Oreochromis niloticus: one gene and its partners. Each later gene encodes a partner of the first gene's protein in a complex. Links are inferred from orthologs where the notes say so. Each region holds a gene or a part of one and is shown in the gene's direction. Other genes may lie near its edges.

The links.
Region 2: gtf2f1 (region 1) and polr2b share a complex: the UniProt entries of both Homo sapiens proteins name them as parts of the TBP-based Pol II pre-initiation complex. The link is inferred for Oreochromis niloticus from reciprocal best matches to the Homo sapiens genes GTF2F1 and POLR2B.
Region 3: gtf2f1 (region 1) and gtf2e2 share a complex: the UniProt entries of both Homo sapiens proteins name them as parts of the TBP-based Pol II pre-initiation complex. The link is inferred for Oreochromis niloticus from reciprocal best matches to the Homo sapiens genes GTF2F1 and GTF2E2.
Region 4: gtf2f1 (region 1) and gtf2h5 share a complex: the UniProt entries of both Homo sapiens proteins name them as parts of the TBP-based Pol II pre-initiation complex. The link is inferred for Oreochromis niloticus from reciprocal best matches to the Homo sapiens genes GTF2F1 and GTF2H5.

The regions. Positions count from the first base shown.
Region 1 is NC_031969.2:16,047,429-16,055,131, reverse strand, and holds the start of gtf2f1 (general transcription factor IIF subunit 1), read left to right. Parts: upstream 1-4,861; intron 4,862-5,123; 5' UTR 5,124-5,190; intron 5,191-5,450; coding exon of another isoform or gene 5,451-5,636; intron 5,637-6,880; coding exon of another isoform or gene 6,881-7,056; intron 7,057-7,152; coding exon of another isoform or gene 7,153-7,266; intron 7,267-7,352; coding exon of another isoform or gene 7,353-7,515; intron 7,516-7,611; coding exon of another isoform or gene 7,612-7,641; intron 7,642-7,703. Other genes in the region: adhesion G protein-coupled receptor E1, read right to left, coding at 237-264; adhesion G protein-coupled receptor E2, read right to left, coding at 1,776-1,847, 2,012-2,077, 2,762-2,921, 3,960-4,051, 4,154-4,220, 4,323-4,564, 4,658-4,861, 5,451-5,636 and 4 more. UniProt on the Homo sapiens protein: TFIIF is a general transcription initiation factor that binds to RNA polymerase II and helps to recruit it to the initiation complex in collaboration with TFIIB. It promotes transcription elongation.
Region 2 is NC_031966.2:36,396,756-36,404,712, reverse strand, and holds the start of polr2b (DNA-directed RNA polymerase II subunit RPB2), read left to right. Parts: upstream 1-4,955; 5' UTR 4,956-5,072; coding exon 5,073-5,091; intron 5,092-6,939; coding exon 6,940-7,012; intron 7,013-7,957. UniProt on the Homo sapiens protein: Catalytic core component of RNA polymerase II (Pol II), a DNA-dependent RNA polymerase which synthesizes mRNA precursors and many functional non-coding RNAs using the four ribonucleoside triphosphates as substrates.
Region 3 is NC_031971.2:23,286,482-23,293,891, reverse strand, and holds the start of gtf2e2 (transcription initiation factor IIE subunit beta), read left to right. Parts: upstream 1-4,403; 5' UTR 4,404-4,603; intron 4,604-4,869; exon of another isoform or gene 4,870-5,034; intron 5,035-5,157; 5' UTR 5,158-5,158; coding exon 5,159-5,318; intron 5,319-6,941; exon of another isoform or gene 6,942-7,410. UniProt on the Homo sapiens protein: Recruits TFIIH to the initiation complex and stimulates the RNA polymerase II C-terminal domain kinase and DNA-dependent ATPase activities of TFIIH. Both TFIIH and TFIIE are required for promoter clearance by RNA polymerase.
Region 4 is NC_031980.2:11,769,142-11,775,324, forward strand, and holds gtf2h5 (general transcription factor IIH subunit 5), read left to right. Parts: upstream 1-4,872; 5' UTR 4,873-4,935; intron 4,936-5,244; 5' UTR 5,245-5,292; coding exon 5,293-5,327; intron 5,328-5,426; coding exon 5,427-5,607; 3' UTR 5,608-5,669; downstream 5,670-6,183. Other genes in the region: protein SERAC1, read left to right, coding at 1-89, 177-305, 470-583, 742-904, 1,157-1,307, 1,407-1,548, 1,734-1,834, 1,994-2,091 and 3 more. UniProt on the Homo sapiens protein: Component of the general transcription and DNA repair factor IIH (TFIIH) core complex, which is involved in general and transcription-coupled nucleotide excision repair (NER) of damaged DNA and, when complexed to CAK, in RNA transcription by RNA polymerase II.

The DNA.
Region 1 (7,703 bases):
TGTAAACATTGACTTAAATTTACACATATCTTTATGAAATGCTACTTGAAGTAGTCAGTAATAGTAACTGTTTAGAATTTACCATTATTTGAATAGACATATGTCTCTTTGAATCCAGAATCTAAACTAAAATTTGTTCCATCTTAATAATCTAGTTTTCTCATTAAAATTAGCACTGACATCAATTTAATACCTTCAGTTCCAAAAAGTTTATTTTCTCTGTCAAATTCACTTACCCAGAAAAAGTGACAAGACACAATCCATAGTGACAAGTCAAGTCAAGTCTCCAGATCTGTTCTGAATGTTCACATTGTAAAACATGAACAACACCCAAATATTGCTTTTAAAAGCATTATGTGAATGCAAAAAGCAATGCAAATTCACCAACTTGTGTTGACTATGTTAAGGACCTAGGAAAGATACACACAATGTGACATGCAGGACTTTTATGTCTTTTTCATGTTAAACAAAAAAAACCTGTCAGATTTGTGAAGCATTTATTCTTTTCTTTAGTTCCTTTCTCAGATCTCAAAGACAATGAACACAGTTATACTTAAAATTCCCAATACTGTTAAAATCTGGACCAAATCAATTTAGAGACTAAGGACTTTTAAAATACACTTCAAAATTTATCAAATAGCTATTTTATTTGTGAAATTAAAAAACAGGGGCTGTCCTGCTTGTCATTCTTTTTCTCTAGTCCATCTCGTATTTCTGATCTATTGAATATTTGTCCTTTCACACAAAAAAAACATTTCAAGCTTTCAGTCAAAACCTGCATCAGAGCTCCCTCCTACTTCGAGACCAACCGTATCAGTGTTTTGTGTATGCTAATTCATATGTATACGATCAGTGCCTGCATTTGCTTTATGTTACCAACTACTCCTCCTTCAGCCTCCACCAGCACCCTACTGTGTGCTCTCGTCAAGCTGCAGTAATCATGGCACCTGCATGAAAAATGTAGTCATACTGTGCGGCTGTGTTTCAGGCCTGTAAAAAGGGCAAGACTCCTTCCTTTCCTCATGCCAAAAAGGCACCCATGAGTAAACCGTATTATGGGACACTGATAATTAGTGACCAACTTTCTTCCTCCTAAATTCTAAATTAAAGTAAATAATGTATTTACTTTAAATTCATTTAAAAGGTCAAAAACAGAACTTTGGGTGTCAGGTAACTTTATTGAGTCAAATTAAGCAGTATGTAAATTCCACAACCAAGCACTTTAATAGCATTAAAAGGAGTATATTGCAATCCTGTAAAACTGTATTACAAGCCAGTTGTACAATAGTTGACTCCACCCACTGAATCAATCATTGGTCAATCGTTGATCAATCGTCATTAAGCAACTTTAAGTAAGCAAAACTAAAACTTAAGTAAGCAAATGTTTGCTTAACAACTAGATTTATTAAAGAAAAAAGGCTGTCCAAACCCTCCTGGTCCTGTGTGAAAAAGTTATTGTCCTCTAGCCCTAATAACTGGTTGTGCAACCCAAAATCTGATGTATGATTTGGGTGCACCTATATCTGGCCATAACCTTTTCAAAATAAAGGTGAACATTTGGGAGAAAAACTTGGGACATTTAATCAGCAAGTAGTAGTTTAAAATACTTTCTAAATATCGAAAAGCACAAGTATTACATAAAATGCACTAATTTTTCATGACAAAAGAACTTACAAGGTAAATTCACAGTACAAATTGAAATATTTGAAAAGAAAGTAAAAAGTTATTAGCAGAAAAGTAGATAAATCTTCTATTTCTTCCATGTTTCCCGTCACTTATTTATCAACATCAGCTGATGTTGACGTCTGAGGGATGTCCAAGTCCTCGGAAACTGATGGTACATTTTTCTGTCAAAAAAGTAGTGCTGATACTTTAGAAGAACTAAAAAACATTTTTAGAAAAGGTTTAAATTTATTACAAGCAAAGCAACACTTTATGCAGTCACATTTACAACACAGGTAGGCAAAGTGAAAAAGTCTCATTGGTCAAGTGGCTGCTATGCAAAACTTACCACTGAGCCGCCTTCTCTGGTCTTGTTGAACGAACAGGTCAGCCATTTGACATACTCATCTCTAATCTAGAATATGAAATAAATGCACACTTTGAAAAATAAATTAATTTACTCTCACCATAAAACTCGTAAAAAAATACCACTAATATGTTGTAAATAGAGATGATGTTAAATCACAGAGCAGGTCATTATTAAACAAGAGTTTTCAAACTGTGGTGCATGCCCTATAGCTAGATCCATAGAGCCACAGAGCCATTGCTAGTGGGGCAGAGTTTAGCTTTTATTTAACTACATTTAACTTAAATCTTTTTTTTTCTCTTATAAAGAACACATCTATTCGCTTCCGCTTATCCTTTTCAGGGTCACGGGGGGCGCTGGAGCCTAGGGCGAGAGGCAGGGTACACCCTGGACAGGTCGCCAGTCTGTCGCAGGGCTAACACAGAAACAGACAACCATTCGCACTCACATTCACTCCCGCATTCACGCCTATGGGCAATTTAGATTAATCAATTAACCTATCCCCACTAAGTGCATGTCTTTGGATAGTGGGAGGAAGCCGGAGTACCCGGAAAGAACCCACGCAAACACGGGGAGAACATGCAAACTCCACACAGAAAGACCCCGGCCTGATAGTGGAATTGAACTCAGGACCTTCTTGCTGTGCAGCATTCTTATGAAGAATGAATTATAAAAAGTTTGACATATAGTATGTGAGAAAAATGTTAAGAAACACTGGTATAACGAGTCTACCTCTTTGTTGAGGACACAGTGGACAATGTAGAGAAAAGTACCCTGCTGGGAGTTCAGAACTATAAAAACAACCTGAAAGAACAGGTTTGTCTGGTACAGGCCAAGAATCCAGGTACAGCCAAGTATAACAAACTGGGCCAATATCTTGAACAAAATCAACCTGCAAACAGAACAACAAAGTTTTTACAGTTCTTTACAAAACATTGGAGCAGGATGTTAAATAAAATCACATCAGTATGCTAAATGAATTTATTTCTCTACTGTAACTGCACTTATAGTCAAACAGGATGACATATTTAGTCTCTAGAGATGAACTGATTGTCTGGCAAGGGAAAGGTATCTCCCAATTTCCAGTCTTCTCCGGCCCAGAAGGGGGACTGGCTGGTCAGCGTCTTGCACATACATTTCATGAGCAAATTGTTACAAACTACTATTTCTACACACTCACAGTGCACAAATAAAAAACTATTTACTTGCACATGGAAAAGCATGCAAATAGTTGTGCACACACTCACAGGCGCATGCCAACAAGTTGCCAGCATGGAAACTCCCCACCACGAGTGAAGACACAAAGTTCGCCAAAGTAAACCACCATAGAAAATGTTTGTTATGACAAACCTGATCAAACACTTAATTGTGTACTTTTTAAAATTAGCCAACAAATGAAAAGTGACTCAAGCTAAACTATTCACAGCTCAGAACCAACCACAAGTAAGAGAGTCAGGCAAGAGCTGTGAAAGGAAAATTACAGACAGGTGAGAAAAAAGAGAAAAGGGTTGATGTGCTCTGATCTAGTGAATTCATAAGTATACGGGAAAATGATGCAAGTATCTGATATAAAGGTGGATATACAGCAGCTAATTTCTATTCAATTAGTAGCGTGCTTGACAGAGAAAATCCTGTAACTTACTCAATTTGGACCAAAAGTTTAATAAGCTTAATATTTTTTATTATGCAAATAATATTTTGTGTTGAAAAAAGTTGATTTTCTTTCTATATAATGTCAATTGTAGTTGAAATAGGGAAAAATCTGTGTTGTCATTTAGCAAATAATCAAAATCAGAATGGAAATTGCAATTAGTCTCGAGTCTCTACTGAGTGACATTTTTTTTTAAAAGCTGCTTTAAGTACACAAAAATCATAATGATTACTCAGAATTTGAGCTTGCTCTTTAAATTAAATAAAACCTTAAACTTACTTTGTATCTTTGGACTGAGAGATATCACTTTTTATGTTAGCCAAGGTGGGCCGCAGACTCCATAAAGTTGCACCAAACAGGATGCAATTAAGCTGATAAAATAAACAGATTTATAATTTAATTTTGAGACAAATTATGACGTTAAGAAAAGACATGTAATGTGTAATACAGTTCTAACACAAAAATAGACACACAGCAAGGATCGCTATCACTGGCCCTGTTAAAGCCCATTTGAAGTTTCGTTCTTCTGACAGCCAGCATCTACAATGAAAACGCACATTAGAGACCATTATCCAGTCTTGTACATTTAGTAATAAAAGGATTTAATACATAAATCTGTGCATTGCACCGTGTCCGACTTACACATTAGCCTTAGTACGTCCATATCCATCAGAATAGATCAGTGCAGAAACACCAACAATCACAAATGGAACACCATAGCCAATCAGATAGAGAAGAGGCCTGGGGAGACCATCTCTTTGAATGACTTTCACCTGGGAGAGCCTTCTAACCAACAGGTGGAGCTGTAGTGCCTCCAGCAACATCCACACAAAACTGGCAACAATAAAGAAGTGGAGAAGCCCTGCCATGACAGTGCAGGCCAGCTGTAGAGACGGATAAATGAATGTAAGCTTTATGGACAACTGGAACACAATAGAGAATCCTTTGATAATTCTTGTAGTTTAGCCACGTTGTACCTTATTATCAGTGTATTTGTCATTCCAGAGCAGGAGGAGTTGCGAAAAAGCCAGGTTGAGGCAGAGGTGGAGACGGGCAGTATTGTTAATTTTGGGATTCCAGCTGCACAGAAGGAAGGTAAGGATGGCCAAAGCCAAAAAGAAAAGTCCAATAATCACACATATCCGGTTCAGCCACTCTAAGAAGTCATTCTGTGGCACAGGCTGAAAATGAGATACATGGATGCAGATGAAAATGGATGGCTTTTTAAAATGCTTTAAAGCTGACAAATGTCTAAGATCCAGGTGATCCATTTCAGACTTAATCCAAGTTGAAGATTTTTTAAGAGCAATTTTTAGGTTGTGTATCTTTCTAATTCTGCAGTAATGATTCTTGTAATGATTCCACAAGTCCACAGTTCAATTTACAGTTCAGTTTTTGGGACCCTATTTCAATTTATAGTCCTTCTGTTATTTCTCCCTTCAGTCCATAGACAATTCCCCAGGTTTGATAGCATATGCCAAGAAGTGTGGGATAACCTGTCTAAAACTGGGTATGTAAAGTGTACTATACTTGTTGACAAAGCAGTTTGACAGAATACCGAATTAAAGTTCTAGAGAAATTTTGACTGATTACAAAACATTTTTTTTCTTCCACTTAAAATGTAAAAAGGGATTTAACCGCTTATATACACTGCATGTTTCCATTTGTCAAATTGTGGGTTGTGAATTTAATAAAATCTGAAAAATGTACAAGTATGTTAAGTCCTGTAAGTAATGAGGCTTCAACCTTACCAACATGTAACTAACATACCTCCCCAATCTGCATTATGAGAGCAAAGGTAGAAAGGTGAGAGCAGCTACAAACAGTGTAGTTTTTTTGAGAGTATGCAACCCAGCAACCCTCTTTTGACCAACGCATTGTCTCTCCATTCTGTCCACCTTCGGCTTCTCCAGCTTCCCAGTACACACAAGTGACCATTCCATTTTCTGGTACTTCCTAAAAAAAATAAATAAATAAACAAAGGCAAGAATAAAAAGTCTGATTCTTTTTCAATATAATATGTGAAAAGTGTTTGCCCCCTTCCTGATTTCCTAGTGTCTTGCATATTAAGCACAAATGTTAATTTTGGTCAAAGAGAGTAAGACATCATACCACAATCTAAAGAAACAACTGAGAAACAAAGTCACTGATAGCTATGAGTCTGGAAAGCTTCCTGCTTCCTCATGGAGTGACTGGGCTACCAAAATTACTCCAAGAGCACATTCACAACTCATCCAGGACATCACAAAAGAACCCAGAACATCATTAAAGAACTTCAGGCTTCACATGTCTCAGTTAAGGTCAGAGTTCATGATTCAAGAATAAGAAAGAGACTCGGCAAAAATATCATCCACAGAAGAGTTCAAGAAGTAAAACACTTCTGACCAAAAGGCTCATCTCACCTTTGCCAAAAAAAAAACCCATCTTGATGATCTTGAGGACTTTTTGGAAAATATTCTGTGGACTAATGAGACAAAAGGAGAGGATTTTGGAAGATTTGAGTCCCATTACATCTGGGGCTGTTTTGGTGCCTTAGGACCTGGAAAACCATGAATGCTGCTGTCTACCAAAATATCCTGAAGGAGAATGTCGGCCATCTGTTCAAGACCTCACTCTAAAGCACGATTATGTTGTTAAAGAATGTTAGCTACCACTCACCGCTTGTCTGCAGGCTTTATTTAAATCTAAAACTTCCACAACAACATTCTGCAGCAGGATAATAAAACACATCAGCAAGTCCACCTCCAGCTTAAGAAAAACTAAATTAAGACTTTGGAGTGGCCAAGTTAAATTCCTGACCTCAATCTGATTGAGACGCTGTGGTACGACGTTAAAAAGGTGGTTCACACTCAAAAACCCTCCAATGTAGCTGATTTAAAACAATTCTGCAAAGATGAGTGGGCTAAAATTCCTCCACAGAGCTGTAAAAGACTCATTGCCACTTATTGCAATGCCTGACTACAGTTGTTGCTGTTAAGGGTGGCCCAGCCAGTTATTAGGGTTAGGGGGCAATCACTTTTTTTTCCCTTAATGACAAACACCTACACTTAGACATTGCATTTTGTATTTACTTGCGTTATCTTTGTCTATTATTTACATTTGTTTGATGATCTGAAACATTTAAGTGTGACAAACATACAAAAAAAACAGGAAAACAGGAAGGAGGCAAACACTCTATGTGTACAATCTTGATGCTACACCTTCTTGTGTTGAATTGTAAAGTTGACAGGCTCTGTGAGGTTGGTGGTGTTTATTCCTGGTATTATGGCAGTTAAAACATCTGAGTACATCTCTGTCACATTCTTGGTTTTGAAGTATTGATGACTGAGAATGCTCTCCATCCCATTTAGCGTCAGAAAGGCGGCTGATATAGAACCTGGAAGTGATCACATCACAAAAAAACCCAACAACAACAAAAACACTGATGTTGATGCACCTGTGTCAGTCATCATTTTTTTAAAAAAGCTCTTACCATTGTTGGCCCTAGCTAGATCCTCCAAGTTGATTTTCATTTCACATTCCTTGGCAGAGAGGGATGAACTCTTGCTGTCATGGCTCAATGAACCAATGGCCACTAGACTCATATCTTGAACACAGATATGCATTCATTATGTTTGTATTTACTAAGAACTCAAATTTGACCTATTAGCATAAGGTTGAGCTTTGTCTTACCCACTGTTGAAGTGTGTACTTCCTTTTTTATTTGCGTCTCAGTCGACGGAGTCATTGCAACAACGAGCTGCTCTGAGAGGCCAAGAATAATACTACCAGTCTCCCCGTCTCCTTCACTGCTCACCTTGCTTGTGCTGGTAAGTGTTCCAACACCTGAAACCATCTACAGAAGACGACTTATTGTAATCAACAAATAAACATGCAAATTAAATGAATGAACTGGAAATATAAAGCTGTGACTCTGTTTGCTTTTCAGTACCATAGATGAAGAAAAGCAGTTTGCAACTGTCTGCAAAGATGTCAAGAACAGAGAAAATTGTGTTAGATAAAAAATAACTACCGTGTTTTCTG
Region 2 (7,957 bases), on another chromosome or scaffold:
ATCTGCTCAGTTTATCAAGACACCACATATTTTCAAAAGCGCTCCGACGTTTTCGGAGACGTCTGTTACCCACCAGCTCGATAGCGAGCCGGGGGCAAGGCTCAGTAGAGCCCGTGAGAACACCGGACTCCCGGCAAATCGTTTTCAAACCCACCGCCGTCTTTCGCTACTCAGGTTAAACATACATAAGTCACTTAGATAACTTAAAAATGTTATTGTTTGGCTTTTTTAAAGTATTTTATTTGTTCCTGAGTAAATCGGTTTGGCTGAGATTAAAGTTATAGTTTTTACACAGCTGAATAAACGTCAAGCAGACAGCTGATTATCAGAAGTGTGAAATGCTCGAGAATATACTCCGGTGTCCCGTTATATTTTAGATAGCAAGGAGTTTATTAAACTTCACCGAAACAATCTGCAAATTTCATTAAAATTTAATAAACTATCATCTTGTCTTTATTTTTAGTTAGCACATACCTTAAACACTTAAAGTTGTAAGCTAATGATAGTTATATAAGAGCAGATGCTGCGGGTGCAATAAGCTGTACGTTTTACGTCCAATGGATGCATGATCTGATTAGTCGACTAATTGCAAAAATAATCGGTGACTAGTCGACTATCAAAATAATCGTTTGTGGCAGCCCTAGTAAAGATTCAAGTTACAATTATTTATATTTCCTATCTCCTTAAATCTTCACTCAAAGACAAGTATCTTTGACAGTGTGTATATAGATGTATCATATATAAAAGACAAATATTGTTCTTTTAATATGTTGGCATTACTACATTTGGCTCAATGCTTACATATATGTGTAAAAAGAAAATGTACGAGCTGTGATAACTGTTGCTGATAAAATGAAGAGTAGACTGATATATGAAATATTCCTTTATTGGGTGAGAAAATCAGACCATGTCATAACTGCTTTAAGTCATACAGAATAGACATCAGAGCTTTAAACAGGCTGACTTCTGCTAAATGGGTCAAACTGGGCAGAAAGTCTACAAACACATAACATCCTTATAGAACATGATGTAACACTATAGATCAACTTACCTCAGAATATGTAAAGCATACAAACAGTTACAGCAATGTGATGCAACAAACACAGCAGTGCTACTAATCCAAAATACTCAAAGCTTCATAGAACTGAAACAAACATTTATTTTTAGCTCCATTCTGCTGCTGATATATACTTTAGGTTTCTGAATATGAAACTTGTTGCTGCCTTTCATAGTGTGTAACTTGAAGGCCCTGAGTACTTTCTCCCACACTGAAAACACTGGGATGATAACATTATTTGAACATTACCTAATAAGACTGATTCAGGACAGACAATTAGTTATGTTAAACTTTCCCAGCAGTCCTTCACAAACAGGGAACAGTCTGTCTATTCTCTCCATCTGTCAGCTGCTGCTGGCTCTTCCTCCTCCTCTTCCTCACACACTGCTGAGTTTGTCCTGGTGGATCATCAGGGCTGCAAAGCCTCACAGATGATGTGCAGCAGTGGGTCCCTCAGTCTGTCCTCACTCTGGACACTTGCAGTTGTCACACATGGAAATCAAATGTGCGATAAGCTGCAGGATTCAAACACAAGTGTAACTTATAAATACATGTTCATACTTTTATTCCACAATCAGAGAGAAAGAAACAGAGAGAGAGTGCAGGACAGACAGACAGGTGACAGTCTCAGGTGTATACACTGCTACAAAACAGCACAAGAGAAGGAGGATTTAGTGTTTGTGTTATTACGAGTACTAAAGAAGAAGAGTTCCCAGATGGTCCAGTGGACACATGTGTGACTCCTGTGATTAAAGCATCTTTCTTTCAGCTTAACGAGTGAACCGTCAGCTCGTTCAAACACACGTTAAAGTCCGTTTGGCTCGACACCACCGAACAGAGGCAGCAATATAACATAGCTAACATTAACAGTGCAGTGAATCCTGCTTGTGCCGTCATATTCAGGACTGCAAACCGAGCAGCATCACTGACTTTCAGCTTGTTGTGTTTGTGGATATATGACTGACTTTAATTATCCATAAAATCATCACATTCTCTGTAAGATTAAGGTCAACTATTGAACGGCGTATATTTTAAATAAAAGGCTTTAAAACCAAGTTAGTACAAACATCACTAATGTCACATAACTTTGCCGACATGTGGCCAACAGTAATGTTTTAATGTTCTTCATTATTAAACATTCGCACATATGTGAGTGACATCATATTCAGTACTTATGTTGGGTCTAAACTCAGACCCCGCTGTATCCAGGACTTATTCCCATGAAAGAAAAACAAGGCAACAGTGATCGATCGTTTTTACTTGCGCAAGGGAGGCCTTTGGTCAAGACCAGCTCTTGGAGCTCACGCTCCTATCTGTCTCCAGCCCAAAGTCCTTCAAAGAGCAGCTTCCCTCGCAGCTATTTATTGACAAACTGTTACAGTTCACACAATAGTTTACAACACGTACCTCCCCTCTTAACCCCCCTTGTTTACAAAGACGAGGCACTGTATGTATATATATGTGTGTGTGTGTGTGTGTGTGTGTGTGTGTGTGTGAGAAAGAGACCTCCTGCTGGGCAGGAAGCTTACATCAAACAGACCTTCCAGATAGGATGTGTCTGTAATCAAACCTACAGCCCCTCACCTAAAAACTCAAGAATCTGGGGAGGGGGACAGTGGAATTCCTTTCATCCTACAGTTAAACAATGTAGAAATGGATGGTAAGCATAAAAATGACAAACATTTAACCATCCACTATAACAACTTACTTTTGAAAGTTCACTCTTCGGCCGCTCCACTTCAGCCGCCTGCCGTATTTTTCGGCAAAATTATCCACACCCACCGCCACGCTATGAATTGTGGGATATATGTGACCACGAAGTGTACACCGGACCACACTTCAAATTTGGGGAAATGGACGGCAAATTTGTCGACGGCATTTGGAGTACACTTCGAACTGGGACAGGCGTCGTCACGGTGCTGTGGCATAATCGGTCTCCAAATGCGCACTACGAAGCATGTGGTCGCTGGGTTGGGACAAAGCCGTAGGCAGCGAAGGCTGCGTTCTCCAAGGATGCAGACCCTGAATTGACACACATGAACCTAATGACAGGACAGGTGAAGTGAAACTACATACAATGAACAAAGAACACCAGACTCTTTCAAAATACAACCGGAAACATGGAGACATAGACATGACACGAACTTGACAACAAGGACAACACAGTCATGAAACATGACAGGTAGACGTGTGGACCAGGGAGACTTAGTACAGGGGAAGATGACAAAAAGTACTAAGAAACAAAGGACTAAACTGCAATCTAAAAATTAACTACATGAGCTAAACTAGAACATAAATGAATACAAAAGATACATAAAAACTCATACACTGGGTCACACGACCCAGTACCCTGACAATTGCTGTGCAATGCCCAACCATTAAATGACAGTAAGAACTGACAGTAAGATTTACAGATTACTACAAAATTTACAGATTTTAACTGAGAAATTTACAGTAAAACAATGCAAATAACGATTTACAGAAGAAATTATGGATAAAAAGAAATTATAAATTATAAGAAGTGTGCAAATAAACAGAGCGTGTCCGGTGCAGTGATGTATGGGACTCCAGTCATGTCCTACAGCTGGTTCAGGGCCCGAATAGCCTGAGGGAGGAAGCTCCTCCTCATTCTCTCTGCTTTGGTCTTAAGGAAGCGTAAGCACTTCCCAGACCTCAACAGTGAGAAGAGTCCATTATTGGGATGGGAGAGGTCCATCATAATCTTCCTAGCTTTGGTCTTACACTGCTTGGTGTAGATGGACAGCAGGTCAGGAAGCTCTGCTCGAATGATGTGTTCGGCTGAGCGCACCACTCTTTGCAGATCTCGTCTGTCCTGCTTGGTGCTTTTCCCAAACCAGGTGCAGATGTTTCCATCAGGACGCTCTCGATGGTGCAGGAGTAAAAGTTCTTGAGCACCCTCAGTGGCAGATGGAAGTCTCTGAGTCTTCTGAGGAAGAAGAGACGCTGGTGAACTTTGGATTCTAGCCAATCATTTTACCTTTGCAAGCGTAGTAGGCGGGCCCAGATACATACATTCTTTTAGAGCTACAGATTAAAAATACCCAAGGCAAAGCGGTCAAAAGTCTGGCTGTACTTCACAGCAAAAGATGCAAACTCAGCAGCCTGCAACAAGTGCTTTAAGCTGATACTGTGATACTGTCAAAGGAGGTAACTCCTCGAATCTGATGAAACACCTGGCGATGTATAGCATTTTGTTAGAAGCCGAGAAATGCGCCATATTTGATAGCTTGCTGCGAGACCTCACACCGAGCACATCTACTGCGGGTGTGGTGCCTCGGACCCGGAGTTAGCAACATCCCCCAAAAACCCGAAGAGGAGAGTCCTGGCCCCTAGCCCTGCCAGTGTAGCAGAAATGATGACGATGATGATGGCAGCAGCAGCCGTTCTTCTCTGCGTGAGTATGAGTAATGTTGTTCGTGTGTAATTTACGTTGAGTAGGCTAACCACATTATTACATTAATGCATGTAAGGTGAACTAGCAAACACCGTCGTAGTTACATGCGGCTGTCTTCTTGTTTGATGGCAGGTACTCCCTTCACCCTGGCCAAAAAGGCTAAAATGACCAAAGAAAAAGTGGGAAACAGTTAAACATGAGAACATGAGGTTTTTGGACAAAGTTTGTGTTTTTACCATTGTTTAAGCACTGCTTCCAGCCAAGAGTGATGCCATATATGCCCTATAGCTGCAGAAAAGGCTAACTTTGTAATTGTTACTTGTGCTTCACAATAAAATATCTGAAGAGAAATAAAGAACGTTTTTTGGAAAACCAAACAAACAAAAACACACACGATATTGACTTGAGAGCAAGCTTGAGGATTTGTGCAGTTGTAGCATCCAGCCTGTGAGGGACAGTAATGCTTCACCTCTGCCTATTACTAACAAAGAAGAACAAAGCGGAAGTGACCTGCGTTTCCGGGGCGCGCGGTGATCGCATCGTTTTGTGGTTGTTGTTTTTATTTTTGTTGTTGTGGTTTTAAGTTTTCAGGAGATAAACATGTATGACCAGGATGAAGGTGAGCTGCACAGCCGTAAAACTTCATTACGTCACATGGTGGATTATTTTATTTGCATTTATTGGGTAATTTTATTAACAGGACGTGACAGAGGAGCTAACCCGTGCTACAGCTAACCATTTTAGTAATTTCTGAGAGAACAAAAGCTAGTATCACTCATCCAAACAAACACCTGTCACACAGGTACGCGTCGGCTTCACGCAGATCACGAGCCTCACCTGAATCGTGTGCTAACAGCAGCTAAAAGCAGCGGGGCTTTGTGTGAGCTAACAGGCTAAATGCTGCTAACGCACGAGGACCCTTTATTTAACTTATCGCTGCAGACGTTTACACTCAGCGTTACTGTGACACTACACCCACAAATACTGCAATTTATAAACAGTACCACAGTATAAACGCGAACACTTATATTATGTGTAAATTCTGCAGTATAAAAACAGTGTACAATCCGCCACATTTACACAGTATAAACACTGCATAAAGAAAGCTCTACCGTGATCAGAGATTGATCAGCGATGGAAGTAAACGTTGACCACAAGATACTTGACCGATCTATCTTTAAGTTAAAGGTGAGAGGTCATTACCCAGTTTCTCAGGGAGGCAAAGCTACAGGCAGCAGGTCAGTTCCTCCTGTCTTCTCCTCCTTACCTCCTTTTAACCTGTAAAGGTCATGAAATGAAAGAGATGATGAGAAAAATAGACGTGTGCTGTGCTGAGACACACTAGTCTCCTCAATTACGTGAGGCTGAAGGGCTGCCGTGTTAAAACTACAAAGTGCAGAAGATGGACTACAAAATGTCTTCCTTCATCACAGGTGTTTTACAGGTTGTGATAATGAAAATGTCCCTTCAAAGACAGGACAGGATGTCTGCTGCACCTCAAAACACTCAGCTGTCTTTATCCTGGAATAACTGAAGAGGTTTAGGACTCAAAGTCAGGGACAAAGTGTTTTTGCAGTACACTAATGACACAAGTATTTGTAAGAGGTTCCTTTCAAGAGCAGAATATTTAAATGAGCCACATTAACAGGATTTGTTCCACAAACTTTAACTCTGAGTAAATAGTTTGTGAAGCAGAGTAATAGCTGATTTGATCATTTATGATTCATTTGAATGAGGGGGACGAGAGAGTTTGTAATCAGCTCAAAGCTGTGAGAGCAGGTCCAAGACTCCTCACTTAAGTGTTTCAAAAGCCAAGCTTGGATTTTATGAAACAGTTGTTTGAGCTCACAGGGAGCGTCATCTGTAGTGTGAGAAATGAAAGTGAAGTGTCTGTCAGACTGCAGCTGTTAATGAGATTCTGTGTGGGCTGGAAAACGCTGAACGTTGGATTTAGCCGTGTGTCACCTCCATGACTCGTGATCTGACAGTAAATCATCACCATCGTGCGGTCAGCAGTTTGGAATCAGCTCTCTGATGAACCCTGCGGCTCAGTCTTCAGGACCTCACAGTTCATATCAACAGAGTTCTCCTGATACAACCAGCTTCAGGCTGTGTGCTGCATTTGCCTGCACTCAGATAGGAAGTGATGTCATTACACTCAACTCACACCAACAGGAAGTTTACTTAACAGATCAGATGTGTTGCTTCTGATTGATCAGTTTGCGTGATCAGAGCCAGTGAGTTGAAAACAGAACGATCAATAACTTTCCTGTGAGATTGTCATCTGTTTTTATTGATGTATCTGATCAATTCACCAGTTGTTTAAACTGATCAGTAAACTCTATGTGCAGTTATCTGTGAAAAGGAAGCAACCTGAACCGACAATCTGTCATTGATTGATCGGTGAAGCTTCTATGTCTCAGTATGTGTATTGCTCATGTATATTGATCCCTGCTGTCTCTGTCAGATAATCAGTATGATGAAGATGATGATGAGATCACTCCTGACCTGTGGCAGGAAGCGTGCTGGATCGTCATCAGGTAAACTCACCTGTGTGTCTTTGTGGAGATGTAGTGATCATCTGTTCTTACAGGAAAAATATTATGGTGAGTCCACACAAAGCGCGGACCGGAGGGCATGTACACGGACCCGCCATCGGTGTTCAAAGCTGACAGCTCAAAGGTCTCTGATGCTGCAGGTTTTGTCTCTCTCTGAACCAGCAGCAAAAGAAGATCAAACTACGTTTCTCGTTTGATAAACATAATCATTAATTCCCTCTGACTTTGGCTAGTTTCCCATCTCAGATCTCTGTTTTTTGCATTATTCACTGGCTCATTACCCACCAGCAATGTTCCCTCTAAGATACGCACGTGCGCAATTGCGCACTGCTGGCACGGTCTCTGTGCACAAAAAAAATTAACCTGAATTGCAATTAAAATTAAAACTTTAACAATTCTGTTTTGCAGTGTTAGCCAGTGAGTGACTGGCTGCTCCCGTATGGGATTAGAACGATTCCACCTTATCCCACAGTCCAGCCAATAATGCGATTCACATTCGTGTATATGCAGCCAATCATCGTCGTTGACAGGCTATGACAGCGTCCTTATGTGCCGACACCGGTGTTTTAGCTGGCAAAGCAGCGTGGCTGATGTGGAGTGAAGCCACGTTAATGACAACGTTTCCAACCATTGGAGATGTGAGCAGGACAGACGGAACAACTGACGGAAAAAGTGTGGACTTTATACCAGTTTTTAAATTGTGTTGATAGGCCACGTAAAACCAGAGTTATGATAAAATATCTGCAATGTTTGGTTTTCTTCCTGAATACTGTCGTTGTTTATATTTACTGCGGGAAGAAACGGTAAAAACGGCGTTTTATAAGGAAAACGCTCGAAAGCCTGTGAACAAAGACAACACCAAAAACCCCGCCCTTTCCTATTGGTGGAAAAATGTACCATGTGGACCAATCAAAAAATGATATGGCA
Region 3 (7,410 bases), on another chromosome or scaffold:
GCCTTTTCTTCTTTTGGTGTTTTAAGTGTCCAACAACAGTTCGACCCAGACACCTGAGAATTCAGCGCAGACAAATGTGAGAAGGACACAGATAGATCGAAAAAGAAGATGAGAGAGAAACACAGAGTCTGTGTGTGCTCGTGTATGTGTGTGTGTGGGTTTTTTTGTGTACAAGAGCTACTTTCAATTCAGAAGCTGTGACATGGAACTGTCAGTGAAGCCTAGAAGTGCTGACAGGTAACACACACACACACACACACACACACATAAACTTTGTTCACACTGTTGTAATTGAAAGCTGTCACTTTGAGATTTTCTCCTCCACAGGGATTTGCACTTGGCTGCGGCTCCGGGACTTCACTCATCTCGTCTTTTTGCTATTACTCCTCACCTTTAGACCCACTCTCTCCCTCTTTCTGCCACTGTAGTACATAATACACAACCCCCTTTGCTGTTTCCTTCCCATATACACTCACACAACCAAAATCTGCCAAAAACAAAACAAAAAACAAAAACAAAGAAGAAGCAAAAAGAACTAACTACTGATCCTGTATAAAGAGAGCGTATTGACTGACTGACTGCACATATTTGCCCAGGTTGTAGGCTGGAGAGCAACTGCAGTTGTTTGGTAATGGTGTGATTGAGTCATCTGAAGCAGAATAGTTTACACGTGTGACTTCACCATCCTTAATATTCCCAGACGTCTAAATCGTATCCCTCGCATTTCCATTCTCTCTCTGCTACGACTACACGGCGTAATTCATTAATTATGGATTAGGGCCTAAATTAGGTTAGCCCATCTTTAATCATTTATGTGGACTCACTTCTTTGACTGGCCCACTAAATCATTAAGTAGAAGTTTCGGAGATGCTAATTTGTTCTATGATCGGCATTGGACAACTGAAAGTTTTGATGAGCTGATGTATGTGCAGATATTGTTTGTAAGGACCGAGAGCATTTTTCTTTTCTTTTTTTCTTTTTTGGGGGGCAATGACACATCAAACCAAGGACTATGTTGAGATTTTGATATCAACAACTCAGGTTTTCGATATTATGCAGGAACAGATGGAGGATACGATTTTTACCCGTAAATATCCACCAACACGAAGTTCACAGACACATACACACATACAGTACACCTATTCATATTTCCCTATCTCCATGTAGCTGCTAGTAATACACTTTTTAGATCTTTTTTTTTCAGCGTATTAAAGCATCTTTTCTGTTAAAAGACATCAATCTGACAGAGCTGTTGATCCCTGCTTACTTTACATGCATTCTGATAACAAACACATGAGATAACAACACGGCATGCAGTTTGCCAAGAGAAAGGCAAACCGAGTCTCAGCATTGTGCATTTTCTCTCACTCAGGGGTTAGAATACAACAGTCAATAAGATGTACAGTATGTCAGTGCAATACACAAATGAATAGGAATGGGTTTGTATTTTTTTTTTTTCACCATCTTAATTGATTTTGATTTTGATTTTTCTCATATAAAAAATTCAGAATGACTTACAGGAAGACTTATGTATTAAATAGGCCTGAAGTCAGTGATTTATTGTGAATGGTAAATGTTAGAAAAAGGCTCAACAAGCATGGCTTGAAGTTGCAATGACCCAGCCAAAGTCCAGAAGTCCAGATACCTGACTGAAATGCTGAGGCAGGACCTTAAGGGAGCTTTGCATACACAAAGTGCAAATGTCAATGAACTGAAACAATGATTCCAAGAAGAGTGGGCCAAAATCCTCCACAATGATGTTAGAGCTGTAAAGGAAACAATTACTTTAAGTTAGTGCTAATTCTACAAGCTACGGAATCAGGGAGTGTACTTCGTTTTCCACAGGACTGCACAGAGTCTCGTGAAAATGATACTTTTCCCCACAAGATCTCCTTTGAATGTAATCATCAGCTTTTAATCTAAGTGACTATATTTACTTCAGAATTGGTTAATTCACATGAGAGTTGGCTGCATTTCTTTCTTCTGGCTGTGTTTGTCTTTTAAAAGCATGTTTTAGTCGATTTAAACCAAACAACCCACACAGTCCCAATGCAGAGGATAAGCTGTGTTTTTTAACTTGATAAAATGTTGTAAGATCTGAAACCAGATCTTTATAGAGGCTTCAAGCTGACAGACAGTGTGAAACACAAGTGACACAGTAATGCTGTGGAACAAAGATCCCGATGCACTGTGCTGCACAAAGCAGCTGAACTTACAAAGAGAGCTCTCTGACACTATTTTCAAGCCAATCAAACTAAAAAAGAAAACTATGAAGTGCTTGATTTTAACATCCAAGGAACTTTTGGATTTAGACAAGCTCCTGCTTAACTCTTGAATAAAACAAGGAGGCACCCTTCTTTTGACATTGTGTCTATGTATAAAGCTAATGCATGTGAAGCAACTGAGCACAAACTCAGAAATACCATCTTTTATTCGTCTGCTTCAGTTTGAACTGAACACTGTGGCCCAGCTCTGTTTTATGGCTTCCACACTCTGCTGCTCCTGGGTGCTTAGCTCTCTCATTTTCTTTGGTGACTTGGTTGTACAGCAGACTGCAGCCTTATCTCACCTCTTCTCACAACTGATTACCCACTAGTGGAGTCCCCTTCCCTCCTCAGTCAGCAGTCTGGCTTCAGTCATATGAACTGATATACTCAGTTTTATTTAATAACAAAACCAACAAAAAAGCAGGGGGGGGGGGGGGGACATGTGGCCTTTTTAAGTTTGAACCGACTCAAATTTTCTCTCTAAATACAATGAGTGGTGACAACTAAGGCCAAATCATATTTTATTCATCAGGGTGCAAGATAAATTATAACTCAGTTGTGGCCACAGGCATAAAAAATAGTCAGCTTTGTTGCAATAACAATGGAGGTAAAGTGCTGCAAACAGTCATTTTTTAACTCCTGGATTGTTTTCCTCTTTTAAATTAATCCCTGAAAAACTAAAAGGCCACAGAATGTGTTTAAGCACAGCAGATGCCAAGATGTTTATCGCTACTGTTGTTATGTTTTGGGTAACATTTTCTCCATACTGAATTAAAGAATCGCGATCAGAATATTTCATTACCCCAGGTGGAAATGGTTTTGTTACAGACATTCACTTAAAGTGTTATATTAAATTAAAGTTAAATACTCCAAAGTTAAAACAATGAATCATACAGTATAGACAAGATATTACAAGTGTAAATAATACAGGTGTCATAAGGAGGTGCCCTAAAGTTTGATGGTCACAGGTAGGAATGACTTCCTGTGGTGTTCTGTGGTGCGTTATGGTTGAACCTGTTCCTGTGATTCCCCACGACAAGATGAAGATGGTACAAAGTCCAGTCTAATATTCACTGTAACTCAGAAAGGATCCTCCTTTCTAAAGCGTCTGTCACAGAGTCAGTTCTGGACCCACAATATCACTGGCCTTTTAAATCGGTTTATCGAGTCTGTTGTTATCTGCACCCCAGCACGCCACAGCACAGAGGATGGCACCGGCAATGAGGGGATCATAAAACATCCTCTGTAGCTTGTTTGTTTTGACATATATGTAATGCCATTAAAAGGTAGGCAGCGCTTTTCTTTCAGTTTGATGCTGTTTTTCTTACTAATTACTTGAGTCATTCACACTGAATAACGTATAAAGGCAGTATCTTAAGTATGAGAAGCAGGAGTTTAAAACAACCACTAAGTGGCGATGCTGAGCCAATAATCTCGTCCCAAAATAACAAGAAGTCCAATGATTTAAAATAAATAAATAAATAAATTACACAAAACACACTCAAAAACAAAGTAAAGTAATCATATCCTGTTTTGCTTTTTATTTTTTAATCAGAACTGAAGAACAGAAGAAGTAAAATAAAAGACTTTAATTTGTCTATGTAAAACAAAAAACTTATTTGTGACACATAAATTTAGATTTGGTGTATATTAGGCGATAGCATATTGGTTATATGAACCCAATTTACAAATAGACTAGCAGTTTTATATGAAAGTTTATTTAACTCCCATTTTTAATGAACTATCATGCAGTGGGATCTGTGAGCTAGAAATAATTATGTTGATATATATTTTTATGGCTTGTCCTGTTTAGCGTTTCAGTAGTTAATAAGAATATTGATGTGACAGTTAGTATAAATCCTGAGTAGTACTATAGTAAAATAGCATAAAGGTGAGACCAAACGTTTGCACAAACAAAAATTACTGCGTGATCTTTTTTCTTTTATATTTTTTCTTTTATAGTTTATTAAAAATGTGTAAATTGATGTGATTTTGTGGTGGATTAAAAAAGCCATTTAATAGAAGTTATATTTCGAAAATTTTTGTCATCAGTATTTTCTAATCGTGCTTTTATTCATCATAAATCATCGTTTTGTTGTACGTATGTAATGACGTCATGCAGGCTTCGCAGTCAATACCGGAAAAATCGAACTAGAAACGGAAGTGCAGCATGAGGAAAATTGTGTGTGAAGTTTACTTGTGTTGTCTCTGAAGGAACGACAAAAAAAACAGTGATTCGGTGGAGGGCGCATTCTGTTTTACATCTACAGCATATAGTTAGTCCTCTTGGACTAACCCTCTTCTTTCTCTGAGTGAGAACAGGAACAAAGTGTCAGGTAAAGTTGAATTAATCGGGATGCTAACGCTAGGTTAACTACCAAGCTTCTGGTACAGTGTTTCGCCACGTTTGTTTATGTATCTTGGTTTCCCCATAATACTCAGTAACGTTCGCTTCTGAACATAACCTTAGTTGTAGTTACTATGGAATTTACATGATCACAAAGTCAACTTAAACCCGTCTGTAATCGGATTTGAAAATAAACTAGCTATTGTTAGCTAGCTTTATATTTATGGTTCTGGGGCCAGTGACTGTTTTCCCTCTAACGCCATTTAATTCTGTATTTGGCTGTCTGACTTTTCAGCTTAGTTTTTCTTAATATATCAGTTATTTTGTTGGTATCAGGAAAAACCCGTTTCGTAATGGCTTATTACAAAAAGATAAAGCAGGTGACAGCTCTTAAGTCCCTGAAGCTAAAGGCCATCAAAGGTTCTTGCTACTTACACGTATACTTACATATATTAAGAATGTGATTCCTTGAATCCATCAAAATGAGCTTTGTTGCTTTGCCTTTTGTTAAATGAATCTTCATTTTTTACATCTTTCAAACAGGATGGATCCTGCTCTACTGAGAGAAAGGGAGCTTTTTAAGAAAAGGGCACTTTCCACCCCAACTGTAGAGAAGAGACAGGCTGCGTCAGACTCTGGATCACACAAAAAGAAGAAACCCAAAGTTGACAAGGAGAGCTCCTCTAGTTCCAAACTCAGTAGCGGTAGGTGAAGAATATTTTCTTGAAAAGGATGATGTTTAGTGCTGTAAACCACTTATTCTTGTTTATTAGTGTTTTAATGTCTCTTAATGTCAGTGCGCCCCAGGGTGGCTGTGGCTACAATGTAGCTTGCCATCACCAGTGCGTGAATGTGTGTGTGAATGGGTGGATGACTGGATGTGTAAAGCACTTTGGGGTCCTTAGGGACTAGTAAAAAGTGCTATACAAATACAGGCCATTTACTATTTAATGTCTCTATAGGTTCACATCACCACTAGCCTTTTCAGCTAGTGATGCTGAAAAGGCTAGCATCTGTAGATATATGTTGGCAAGTAGGAGATGCATCGACTGACTGGCCAGGGACTGGATTCTGCAGATTTCCAGTGCTTAGCCCCGGCCAGTGACTGGCCAGTCAGTCTCCCATATAACGGATTGTATAGCGGTGTAGGCAAATATTCACATGCACTCTCACAGCCTGACATGGTGTTAGTGTGGAAGCTTCTCATTGTGAGTGAAGAGACAAAGTTCACCAAAGTACACTGTAGGGCAGGGGTGGGCAACTCCAGGCCTCGAGGGCCGGTGTCCCTGCAGGTTTTAGATGTGTCCTTGAACCAACACAGCTGATTTAAATGGCTAAATTAGCTCCTCAACATGTCCTGAAGTTCTCCAGAGGCCTGGTAACGAACTCATCATGTGATTCAGGTGTGTTGACCTACGGTGAGATCTAAAAACTGCAGGACACCGGCCCTCGGGGCCTGGAATTGCCCACCCCTGCTGTAGGGGTACCAGCGAGAAAACCTTCATAAACAAGAAATCTAATTAGACATTTAAATATGAAAAGGGAATGTGGCTAACGCTAAAGTTTCACAAAGCTCAGAGCCAGACACAAATGAGCATCCTCAGTATGGCTTAAAGCAACTATGAGGGAAAATTATGGAGACGAGTGAATAAAAAAAAAAACTAAAAACGTTTTCTATTGATTATTTGAAGATCACCTTATTTTCTGTTGTTTCAGAAAATCCTGTAACTTAATACAGTTTGGGGAAAGAAACATTAATAATTTCTTTAATGGAAAACATATTTTTAAATGAAGAAAAGTAGATTTTTGTTTATCTGTGCCATTAATCACAGTTCTTAGAAAATCAGAATCTATTCGCAGCATAAGAGGCTTATTCTGTACAATATGATTGCTCATATTTGGACACCAAAACAATTTTCATAAAGACTTGATAGTAAATTGAGAATCCATGTGGTTAAAGTTGTGCATGTCAGTTTACTGTGATTCAACAAGATAACCAAGACACTGGAATAATACACTCTCCTGGTTGTTATTTCTAATAAGAAGGAACCTTACTTCACAGGTTAAATTGACCAGGTGACAATCTTTTCTCATTCTAAATCCTTAGCTTAAACCAAAAAACTAGAATTCTTACTGCTCAGTCAAATTTAGTTAAAAGAAAATTGGATTACAAGTGATACTTATGACATTTTTGCATTTAAAATGTTCTTTCAGATGAATTAAAGCAACACGCATAACTATATACAACATAAGAATTGCGAGCAGTGGCTCTTGGCATCCCTTCGAAATTTCAACGTCACTCCATATACTCTTGAAGAAAAAGCTACTTCTGTTAGCAGAAAAGTGAGTCAGCTTTTATTAGGCATTGTGTGGTAAGGCATGAAATTACACATAGTGCTCAATATGACATTTTACCGTACATCACTGTGCAGCATGCGAACTTGTCATGAGATAATGTTGCAGTGCTAAACATGTTGACAACACTGGCTTACAATTTACTGAAGAACACCAGCTTTATCCTAAGCAATGATTTCATCTGACTAGGCTTGATCAACAGATATTGTTGTCATAAGATTAGGACGGCAATTTCAGAAAAAGCATGTCCCGAAGAAGCTCACTGCATCCAGTAGGTCACAAAACGCTTAAAGCACTCACACAGTAGTTGTTTTTTCTGAACAGTTTTTTTTTAACACCCATATAGCAGGGTAAGAAAAAGCTTTTTTTTCAGTGTTTTTTGTTCTCCATGCAACTTAATAATCAGTTTCCAAAATAATCAAACTAAGAAAATGCCCATTT
Region 4 (6,183 bases), on another chromosome or scaffold:
ACCATCGGACAGCAGTGGGCTTGGCCCGGACGCCTCAGGTAGACCTGAGGTTTTTCCGTCACCCACCTGCACTGCCTGATTTGGGGGAGGTACTCAAATCTACTCTTTAGGATATTTGCCATTTGAATGCCTACCTCACAGATGTGCTGCATCTCACTATAATGTGATCTTCTCAGGGTTTGTCAGCGGAGGACGGACTGAGGCAGCTTTTGGCATCTCTGCCTCAAACTGAGGTGGACAAATGTGTTCGGTACTTTACCTCACTGGCCCTGAGAGAGAGCACTCAGTCCTTGGCAGCACAAAGGGTGACAATCACAGATTTACACATACATGTACAGTCTTTAGGAAGGTGATGGTCTAAACAGGAGGACAACAGTCACTGGGATGTGCAAAAAAAAAAAAAAAGAAAAAGAAAGAAAAAAGCTAGTTTCTATATCCTGTCATTAACACGTGCGCTTCATTGTTCCAGGGTGGTCTGTGGAGTTTTGGAGGCAATGGGCTGCCTTATGCCCAGAGCCTCACCTCTGTTCCTTCTGAGAAGGTGGAGTCCTTCTGTCTGCAGGCACTGGTACAACACTCAAAGGTAATCATCATTGTGCATCCAAAGGTGATTTAGTCTGGAGTCGGTGGCTTGATTACTTACTTACTACTCGTTGCGGTCATTGTAGCAGTGTATTAAGGTCAATTCTATGCGCCCCCTGTCTGGATGTTGCCTTGTGGTTAATACTTTGCGATCTGCAGGTAAGGAGCCACTGTGACCACATAGTTGCCAACGGAGGTCTACAGCTTCTCCAGAGGGTTTATCACCTCAGAACAGACTCTATGAAGATTCAGAGGAACATTGTTCGCATTATCGGAAACCTGGCTCTCAATGAAGGTGCCCATCAGGCCATAGCCCAGTCCGGTAAGTCTGTAACTAATCTGAATAAACTGGAGACAGCTCTGATTATGTGTAATCCTGACTGGGTGCGCTAAAGATGTTATGAAAGTAAGGTCTAAAATATATGTTGTGCTTGTTTCAATTAGAGATTAGATTGTCACCATCACAAAAAAATGTGTTTACTTTTATAGTTATCCACCCCAACTTATAAATTTTATCGTACTGCTCACACTTTCCTGTTTTTTTTCCCCTACTTTACCCATAAAACACCTGCAGGCTGGGTGTCTGTCCTGGCTGAGATGATGCAGTGCCCTCATATCATGCAGGCGTCTCACGCAGCTCGTGCTCTTGCAAACCTGGACAGGGAGACAGTAAAAGAGAAATACCCAGATGGTGTCTATATCCTGCACCCACAAACACGTAGCAAGTAGGAAAACAAATTCAGTTGTTACATAAATGCATTAACATCATTTTATTTTATTGTTATAACCAAACCATCATCTTTGACAATGTTTTCAATTTCCAGTCAGCCAATCAAAGCAGACGTGCTGTTCATACACGGGATTCTAGGGGCAGCTTTTAAGACGTGGAGGCAGAAGGACCGCAATACGTTAGAGGAAGAGGAGGCAGCCAAATGCGAAGATGACTATACAGAGTGCTGGCCAAAGGTAACAAAGGCACCTGATTCCTCTAATTACATTAATGGATTATTTCAGTGTTTTCCTCCTACAGTGAAATTGAGTGTTTCAAGACTTAGAAGTGTGTTGTCGTCTCTGTGAAACTCTTAGGTCTCACACAGCTTAAGATTTATCTCAGTGTTCTTCCATGTCGTTTTATCACTGTTTATTGTCAGTCATGGTTGGCTGCTGACTGTCCAAATCTGAGAGTGCTGTCGGTGGAGTATGACAGTCATCTAAGTGACTGGATGGCCCAGTGTCCTGCTGAGAATCAGAGGTAAAAAAACAAAAAAAACAACGATAAATCTGTAGTTTCTTTATACGTCTACATGTGATTAAGGTGCTACTCTTGGTAAAACAGAATATTTTTGCAAAGTCAGGTGCCCTTGGATTAATTACTCCAACAGATTAAAGGGTTGACTATCTGTCTCTCCAGGAAGTCTCTAGCCTACAGAAGTCAGGAGCTGCTAAAGAAGTTAAAGCTGGCAGGAGTTGGAGAAAGGCCTGTGGTCTGGGTAGCCCACAGTATGGGAGGTATTTCTCCCACATCTTTCCTTCCACAAGCATGTTGGACTTTTATGCAGATCCCTTGAATCAAACTTGAAAAAAAAAAAAAAGAAATTACTAATCTATCCTCTTGCATTTGGTTTCTCTTGCAGGACTGCTTGTGAAGAAAATGCTGCTGGATGCCTCACAGGACCCAGACATGCATGGGTTATTACAGAACACCAAAGGGATTATGTTTTATAGTGTTCCTCACTACGGCACCTTCATGGCAGAGTACTCTGTCAATGTCAGATATCTTCTCTTCCCCTCCATAGAAGTCAGAGAACTCTGTAAAGGTCAGTGAATATGATGAATTCTGTGGTCTATGAAACTCTTTCAGCATCTAATGTGAATTGATGTGTGTGTTTTAAGATTCACCAGCTCTGCGCAGCCTGAATGATAACTTCCTGAACCTGGCCAAAGAAAAGGATTTCAAGGTGCTGAGCTTTGCAGAGACACTACCGACGAACATTGGACCCATGATCAAGATACTTGTGGTACCAACGCAGTCAGCAAGTATGTAACTCCAAATACTGTAATGTCTGAAATGTACAGCTTAAATATTTTAAAAAAAACACATAGTTGAAGCAATGTCTTGCGTCTCATCGTGTTGTGGTTTCAGATCTCGGGATTGGTGAGCTCATTGAAGTGGACGTAGATCACCTAAACATCTGCAAACCAGAGAGGAAGGACTCATTTCTATACAAACGCAGCCTCCAGTTCATCCTGGACGCTCTGCAGAGCTACGTCACCCACTGACAGAAATCTATAAAAACAATGACACTGAGACCACCTGCTGTATACTTGAAATGTATATCACACTCCAAACCAAACAGAGAAATAACTGCACATTCACATGAAGCACCACAAATGCAATTGCAGTATAGCTAACGAAATCAAATTTATTTTACACACGGATATATGTGGAAACCTGTCAGTTGTGATAACGATAGCAGGGTGCGTTTTTTGTTGTTGGGGTCTTTTTTAAGTCATCCACTGAGATCGGTCTCTTAATTGTACATCAGCTAAGTTTGAAAGAAAACAACTCTTATGTTTACAAGTAAATTAAGCACATTACAATTTTATCTAGATTTCCTTTTATTTTAGATTTATTACCAGCTAATCATGGGATACATAATGCTCATTATCTACTGTATTTACTTAAAAATGCACTGACATTTTGTTGCCACTCATGCAACTTGACTTTTGACCAGAGCAAAGGTTTAAGACTTTATTTTTATATGTATTTGTTTTACTCTAACTATAGTGTGATTATCATCTTATGTGCCAAAACATATTCTTTCCCAAGCCTTACCTCAAGTGGACCTGAGTTAATACCTTTAGTTCAGATTGCACATACAGTTGTATGGGACTGATCAAGCAAATTAATTTTAATACATGTGTTTGCAGCCCCCACTGCCACTAGCAGTCCTAAATGCTGGCAATGAAATGAATAAATGTGTAACGTTTGAGGGTTTATGAGTCATCTATGCATTTCTATATACAAAGTACAAAATACAACAAAGTATTTGAAACATTCCTCTGGGATTTTGGCCCATATTGACATGATACCATCACACAGGTGCTGCAGATTCGTCAACTGCACATCCATGATAGGAATATACCACATCCCAAAGATGCTCAAGAGGATTGACATCTGGTCACTGGAGGTCATTTGAGTTCAGTGAACTCATACAAGAAACCAGTATGACATGATATGAGCTTGGTGACATGATGTCTTATCCTGCAGGAAGTTGCCATCACAAGATGGGCACACTGTTATCATAAAAGGATGGACATGGTCCAGAACAATAAATGGGTTGAACTAAGGGGCCTAAATTGTGCCAAGAAAACATTTCCTACACCATTAAACCAGCCTCAGAAACATTAGTTTGCTATTCTTACCTTATTCTTCTGCTGCTGTAGCCCATCTGCTTCAGGGTTCAAAGTTTTGTGCAGTCATAGATGCTCTTCTGCATACATTGGATATAAAAAAGTGATTATCTGAGTTACTGTTGTCTTCCTATCAGCTCCAAACAGTCTGACCATTCTGCTCTGATGCATTTTTACCCAGAGAACTCCTGCTCACTGGATATTTTCTCTCTTTTTGGATCAGTCTCTATAAATCCTAGAGATGGTTGTAGCTCAATTGACCAGCAATTTCTGAAGTACTCGACAATCACCCGACATTCAAAGTCACCCACATCACCTTTCTTCTCCATTCTGATGCTCAGTTTGAACTTGAGCAGGTCATCTTGGTCATCATGTCTACATGCTTAAGTGCACTAAAATACTTCCATGTGACTGGTTGATTGTATATTTGCCTTAAGGAGCAGCAGAGTAGTTGTACCTTATAAGTGGTCCTGAGTGTATATATATGGTATCAAGTTGTCATAGTTTTCCTGTTAGTGACAGAAGGGGGAAAATGGCACAGTACTGTATTTTATACTGGATCTTAACTTGCATTTTGCACCAATGTCATGATGCAGTTTTTTGTAATGCATTTCATGCACTTGGGTACAAATATTGCATTATTTTCTTCATAATACTCACTCATCTATACACAACGTAGGCTTTTTTTAAACCCACAGTATTGATATGCACTAAAATATAAAGCATTAAACCTTTACCAAGGACAGAAAAGCAGCACAGAAGCAGCAAAAGCTTTTAAAACATGCTAGCGCGATATTTGGACATCAGAAGATTGTCCCTTGGCGCACACCTTACATAACCCATCAATGCTTTGAAAACTTAGCAGAAACAGCTGGAGATCTCGGGTAGATAAAAGGCTGTTTGTTGCTTTATGTTAATCCTTCGCTTAACTGTAGACAGGTATGTATATGTATATGTGTGAAGTTTGCTCTTTTAGATATTTGAGATCGCGGTATGTAGCAGAACATGCCCGTGGCCATGCTATTTTGAGCTAATGCTAACCGGTGCTAAAACAAAGAGCTAGCATACGCTGTACTTAAACGTTTACAAGTATTTTCTTTGTTGTAATGGTAATAAAAATATTATTAAAATGTCCGAAAACATGTGAAGCGTTTATCTTACTGTTTAGTGCCTTAATAAGGGTTTAGGCTGCCGTAAAGCTGCTTCTACTTGAGGCCTTCAGCTGTCGGTTTGTTTACTGTGCTGCAGGTATTCAGCTCTTTAATCGGCTTCGACTGTCCATTTCTCTGCATCAATATGGTCAACGTGCACAAAGGTGTCCTTGTTGAATGGTAAGGTTGTAACTTTGCCAATAAATATTTGTAGCTAGTTTCACAGAAATCTGTTTTTAAGTAGCCGAAACTTTAACTTTCTCTTGCTGTATGCACTAGTGATCCTGCCATGAAACAATTTCTCCTGTACCTGGATGAAACGATGGCCTTGGGAAAGAAATTCATCCTCAAGGATCTTGACGACACGCACGTGTTCATTCTTGCAGAGGTGGTTCAAACACTCCAGGAGAGAGTCGGAGAGTTGATGGACCAGAATTCATTCCCCATCACACAGAAATAAACGCAAACTGTCAGAAGAAGTGTTACTTTTTGGCCATGGACTGCTCATGATCTCTGGATAAATGTTTGCAGTGTTTTAACTGCAGACTACAGTGGATTACTGTGAAAATGCTCAAGGAGTTCAAATACATTTTGATAGCAGGTTCCAGAATATGTTTTCTTTTTCTTTGCCTTCTTTAAATTGCAGATTAAAGCTACTGTGTCTGCAGCACCATGTGTTTGTTTTTTTATTATTATTATTATTAATAATTGATATGAAAGGAGCAAGGATCCGAAGTTAAATAAATCGACAGCTGCTTGTCGTTTAACAGTGACTTTCAGTTTTTTTCCATATTTGACATTCTGATTAAAGTTGGTCTAAAAATATTTAAAACGGTCTTTTGAAAATGTTGGGATGTTGTGTCTAATGTAAATCAAAATAATACAATTATGTATTGAAGGTCATTTAAGCCCTTTTAAAGCCTTTTAAATTGAAAATAATTTTGGGTAAATAGTCTCTTTTCACTATGTGACATCTTTATTTTTCTTTCTTTGTAATGTGACTGGGTGAAGTAACTAGATTTATTCGGTATCATTA